Linked DNA regions of Ovis aries. The protein of the gene in region 2 interacts with the protein of the main gene of each other region in a pairwise test. Links are inferred from orthologs where the notes say so. Each region holds a gene or a part of one and is shown on either strand. Other genes may lie near its edges.

What was found. The genes of interacting proteins can lie anywhere in the genome.
Region 1: the proteins of CPT1B (region 2) and TEX44 interact in binary tests that used the Homo sapiens proteins (3 or more experiments, as listed by UniProt). The two-hybrid records come from large-scale screens. The link is inferred for Ovis aries from reciprocal best matches to the Homo sapiens genes CPT1B and TEX44.

The regions. Positions count from the first base shown.
Region 1 is NC_056055.1:233,325,724-233,328,584, reverse strand, and holds TEX44 (testis-expressed protein 44), read right to left. Parts: upstream 1,559-2,861; coding exon 503-1,558; downstream 1-502.
Region 2 is NC_056056.1:225,818,018-225,820,741, forward strand, and holds part of CPT1B (carnitine O-palmitoyltransferase 1, muscle isoform), read right to left. Parts: intron 2,398-2,724; coding exon 2,290-2,397; intron 2,216-2,289; coding exon 2,131-2,215; intron 1,523-2,130; coding exon 1,327-1,522; intron 1,045-1,326; coding exon 859-1,044; intron 781-858; coding exon 675-780; intron 586-674; coding exon 469-585; intron 57-468; coding exon 1-56. UniProt on the Homo sapiens protein: Catalyzes the transfer of the acyl group of long-chain fatty acid-CoA conjugates onto carnitine, an essential step for the mitochondrial uptake of long-chain fatty acids and their subsequent beta-oxidation in the mitochondrion.

The DNA.
Region 1 (2,861 bases), on a different chromosome or scaffold from region 2:
CCACAGCTCCCCACACCTGGCCTCCCTGGCCTGCCCAGGCCCTTCTCTTTCTCTTTTTTTAATTTTAATTTTTAAAATTGTATTGTCCATGCCATGTGGCATGCAGGATCTTAGTTCCCATGCTGGGGATTGAACCTGTGCCCCCTGCACTGGAAGGCTCAGAGTCTTAGCCACTGGACCACTCGGGAAAGTCCCAAGGCAGGTCTCTTTCTGCACTTTGGCTCCCAGCTCCTGAGTGGGACAAGCTAAGAAGCCCTCAGGGGGGGCACCTTTCCATTTCCAGAACACCCTAGCTCCCTCCTGTCCCTCCACCCTGAGCCCACTGCACAGACAAGGGAGGAGGCCGGCGCTTGGAAAATAAACGCTTGCCAGTGATTTATTGCCCAGTCTGGGGAGAGCTGTCCAGAGCAGGAGTGGGCGAGAAAGGGGGGGCAGGAGTGTCCCCCGGGTCTCGGGAAGCTGCCGAACATGGGGTCCAGTCCCAGTAGGGGGTGGCGTGGGCCTAGTGTGGGGTAAGATGGTTGGTCAGGTAGCACATGGCCGAACGGATGCCCTCGACAGTCCTCCGCTCCACTGATTCCAGCACGTGGGTGATGGAGTGCAGGGCCGCTCTGGTCCTCACCACTAACCTGGAGGACAGGGCAGAGCTGGCTCTCCCCAGGATGCTGGAGACAGAGCGCAGGCTGGGCCCTGGGGTGTGCAGCAGGTCTGACACGGAGCCACGGCCGGTGGCCAGGAAGCCTGTGGCTAGGCCCATGGTAGCATCGGACCACACCAGGATGTCTGCCAGGGAGCTGATGGACCCCTCGCCCCCGCCCAGCAAGCTGGTCATGGAGCGCATGTAGCTGTTCTCTTCGTCAGCCGTGGAGTCCAGGGGACCTGTCCCCAGGGCCAGCTCTCCAGGGCCCGGCGAGGCAGCGGTTGATGGCGAAGCATCAGGGTCAGGGTTCAAGGCTTCAGGACCCTCCAGCTTCTCCTCAACAGCTTCAGGGGTGTCAGCAGTCCCAGGGTCAAGCTGGTCCTTGGGGTCTGTGGTGCTCACGATGGGCTGAGCCTCCACATTTTGGGGGGACTGTGCCTCGGCACTTGGGGTGGCTGTTGCTGGCTCCTGCTCTCTGTCTGGGGTGGCCACTGCTTGTGGTTTCACTTCCTCAACCAGGGAGTTAACTTGGAAAATCTGAGGATTCTGAGTTCTGCTGGAATCTTGCAGCAGCCCTTTCTGCACTAGATTCTGGAAGCCCAGGGAATTTTTCAGGGCACCTGGGGCCGGGTCAGCAGGCAGGGCTGTGGCCTCCCTGGGCTCCTGGGCCTGCCCCTCGGCAGCTTCATGCCTATCTGCATCCCCAGACTCTGACGTGGTCCTCGAGGTGGCTGGCTCAGTGGAGACCTGAACTACATCCTGCTGTTCAGCTGATGTTATAGCATCAAGAGACGCTGGGTCATCTGTGAGGAGGGGGACCTGACTTTGGGACCCCACTGCTGGGAGGTCTGTAGACCTGCTGTCCCCATGCGGAGGGGCACTGGTGGCTCCGGCCTCTTCCGAGGGCACGGTGGTCATCTAGGCCCTTTGTTACTTGTGCTGGTTGAGAGAGTGGCCGTGGCCCTGCTGGGCTGAGCTCCCCAGAGGGTGAGGTCACAGGGGACTGTCGAAGCTGGCGATGTCACAGGTACTTGCAGAGCAAGGGGCCTGTGCCTCTGGAGTGGCTGCCCTAGTGGGCTGAGTCTGTGGGGCTGTTTGTAGCCATATTTTCAGATGTCTAAGGAGACGCAGGCAAGTGTCTTGGAAAAGCAGGGAGGTTGTATACAGGGCAGGTGCACACCAGGAATCGGGATGCTGTGGCTCTCGTGAAAGGATGGGATGCAGAGGTTGATTTGTAATAAATGTTATAAGGGACTATTCCCAGCACCTCTCTGTCCACACTGGTGACTCACTTGGCCAGTCCTTCTGCAGAGACTCAGTTTCACAGCAGTGGTGAGTAGGAACAAGGGAAGGGGAGGGGCTTGGGCAGCTCCCAGCCCTGACTGTCTTGGTTGTGGGGAGCTATAGACTTAAGGTTATGTCTCACCACAAAGTTTGTATGGTTGAAAGCTATAGTACTTGGAGGTGGAGACTTGGGGAAGTGATTGGGTCATGAGGGTGGAGGCCTCATGAATGGGATTAGTGCCCTTATAAAGGGGACCACACAGACTCCCTGGCCCCCTTCTCCATTTGAAATGCAGCTAGAAAACAGCTATCTATAAACCAGGAAGCAGGCTTCACTGGACACTGAATCTGCAGCCCAAATGTGCTAATACAGGGGTTAACCCTGTGATGTGGAATAAATAATCTCCATCTCTCTGCTTAGCTAGGCTGAGAGGGCAGAGAATAACAAACGATCTGTAAACCCTCGAGTGTTCTCTGGAAATGTGTGGATCCAGATAAACCTATTCGAGCTTGTGCTCTTCATTAAGAAGGTGGCTGGAGTGAAGGTTACAGTCTGTTGGGTCTTGCTTCCCCTGGGGTTATCAGTTAATATTTAGTGACTGCTTATCATAGGCAGATATGTGACTTCCCCGGTGGCTCAGATGTAAAGAGTCTGCCTACAATGCAGGAGACCCAGGTTTGATCCCTGGGTTGGGAAGATCCTCTGGAGAAGGAAATGGCAACCCACTCCAGTACTCTTGCCTGGAAAATCCCATGGATGGAGGAGCCTGGTAGGCTACAGTCTATGGGGTCGCAAAGAGTCGGACACGACTGAGTGACTTCACTTTCTCTTTTATCACGGACAGAAGAAGGAGCTAAACATCTAATCCTTCCAACTACCCTGTCATCTCTAGGTAGGTGCCATCTATTATTATACCCATTCTATACAGGGGGAAGC
Region 2 (2,724 bases):
ACGTCGTCCGCCAGAGCCTTGGCCACCTGGTAGGAACTCTCGATGACAGCCTGGCACTGCCAAGACACGGAGAGGTCAGCTGGGGGCAGAGCTCTCCAGCAGGGCTCCAGGGTCATGTCCAGAAGGCCTGAGGGTTAGTAACGGAGGAAGGCAAGGCTGGGCAGGCCTCGATGGCCTCAGGAGGAGACGCCACAGACAGGCTGGGGGCGTTAGTGCAGAGGCGGGGCTGGGCTCTGCGGGGGAGCGGGCACTGACAGGTGCTTCCCAGACATGAGCTCATGCCTCACGTTTTTCTCCAACCCCCAGACGGTCCTGGGGTCTCTGTTCTCCCTGGAGTCAGTCTGGACCATAAGAGACACTCGGACCTTCCCCCTGAGAGTGGGGCTGGGACAAAGGGGAGGCCTGCAGGGCATCTCAGGCCCTTGCCACTCTCACACAGCCACCCCTGCCCCTTCTCGGCCCGCACACCTGCTCAGGAATGTCCCACTGGAGTCGCTGAGGCGGGGGCAGCACAGGGTTGGGTTTGCCCAGACAGTGCCCCGTCTCTGTGTAGCCCAGATGGAAGGAGTCGGTGCCCAGGACAAACTGCAGGGGAAGGTCAGGCTGAGAGGCGGTCCTTGCGCTGCCACCCCACCCCAAGCCTGCGCTGCAGGGCCCCTCCCAGGGCCTGTTACCTCCCAGAGGTGCCCTATGATAGGGGCGTCTGCCCACGCGTGCTCTGTGTTGAGTCCCAGCTGGCCGTTCTTGAAAGAGATGAGTGTGAAGGACTTGTCGAACCACCTGCAGCGGGAGGAGAAGGGCAGCGGGGGAGGCGTGGGGAGCTCCGGGGCCCGCGAGCGGGGGAGCCGGGGCGTGTACCTGTTGTAGCAGTTGCCGTGCAACAGGGCCTTGCCGTAGAGGCTGAGGCTGGCCTCGTCCTCTGGGTCGTAGTGGTGAGACTCCTCGTCCAGAGCCACGAAGAACGCAGCGCGCTCGATGGCGTCCAGGGCAGCCTTGTTCTTGCCAGAGCTGAAGAAGGCCTGGCGTGCCTGCGCCCACTCCACTCTGAGGGCACAAGGGCAGAGTGAGCGGGGCCCCCTGCAGGATGAGAGCCCTGCCCAGGACCTGTGTCTGCAGTCTCTGCACACCCCCATCCAGCCAGCAGCAGTTAGAGGTCACAGCAGCGACTCCCTGTTGCTGCCACCGGTGTTCCTGACGATGGCAGGTCCTGGTCAACACCGGGCACACCGGGCCTACGTCCCTCCGTCAGGCCTCCTGCCTGAGCTCCAGGGTGGCACGTGGGACTGAACTCCTCTCCTCCTGGTGCCCCAGCGTGGGCCCCAATACCTTCCCCCTGCAGTGAGGGCCGCCAGCCTCTCCTCCCCAGGCTGGGGTGGGGAGGGGTCGTCCAGGATTCTCTGGAACTGCATCTCCAGGTCCCGAGGCTTGAGCAGGCGGGAGCCCTCGTAGAGCCACAGCTTGAAGAAGCGGCCCTTGTGGTAGACGGCCACGTGCCTGCTGTCCGGGAGGTGCTGGAGCACGTCTGTGGCGGAGGCCAGGGTGGGCTCAGGCAGAAGCAGGGCCCCCGCCCCACACGCCTCCCCGAAGGCCCCCGGCCCCACACCAGGCGGCCACGAGGGCCTCCGCCGGGCCTGCCTTCCGCCAACCTCTGGGCATCGAGCCAGAGCTTCCCCGTCTCTCACTTAATGCCAACCACAGTCCCATGAGGCATTTCACAGAAGAGGAACCTGGAGCTCTAGGAAATCACAGGCTGTGCTGGAGACAGAAATGCAGGCGCCGCTCTGGTGGCCCTGGGCAAGCCCGCCCTCCTGCTCTACAGGCCCCTCAAGGCAGGAGCCCTGTTAGGCTCCCTCCTGCTCTTGTGCAGGAGGCTCTTCCTGTGTGCCAGGAGCCCTGCAGGGAGGGGCTCCGTCCTGGCCTCTCAGGGCCCCAGCAGTAGCATCGTGCCTGTAAATAGTAGGTGTCTACTATCGGCCACAAACTGACTATATTTCGCAGTGTCACGACCCTAACATGCTGAGGATGCTCAGGGAGCAGCAGGCAGCAGGGCACTGGCGTGGTGGGCCCATGGCTGGCAGGGAGGGGCCTCCACCCAGGCCCCAGCACGGGCGCCTGGGTGCGACCCCATACCTGTGTCCTTCCCCGGGATGCGAGTGGTGTTGAACATCCTCTCCATCTGGTAGGAGCACATGGGCACAAGGCCCAGTGCCATCACCTGGGAGGAAGGCCCAGTACGGCTCAGATGGCGGCCCCTCTTCCGGTCACGCCCGCACCCCCAACACAACTCACAGGCTTGATCTCTTCACGGTCCAGTTTACGGCGATACGTGATCATGGCGTGGACAGCATTTCCCAGGCGGGCAGCCTGCACGTCTGTGTTCTTGACAAGCACGAGGTCCTGCAGGGAGACAGCAGAGCCTGCAGGGACGCCGTGGCGCGTGTGCACAGGGGGCCCTCTGTCTGGGGTGTCTCGGCCCCTTTCCGCAGTCCATCCTGCACACTCTCTGAGGCCAAGTACCAGAGGTGAAACACATGACTGGTCATGTCACCCCCTGCCCTGGCTTCCACCTGAGCTTCTTTTCCAAACCCCTTGGAGCTGTTGACATTTTATTTATTTTTCTTGGAGGAAGAGGTTCTGCCACCACAGAACAGCTTAAAACCTCTGGCCTAGACAAGCTGCACATAGGTTTCTAGAAAGATAGCTTTGTGGAGGAGGGGCATGGCA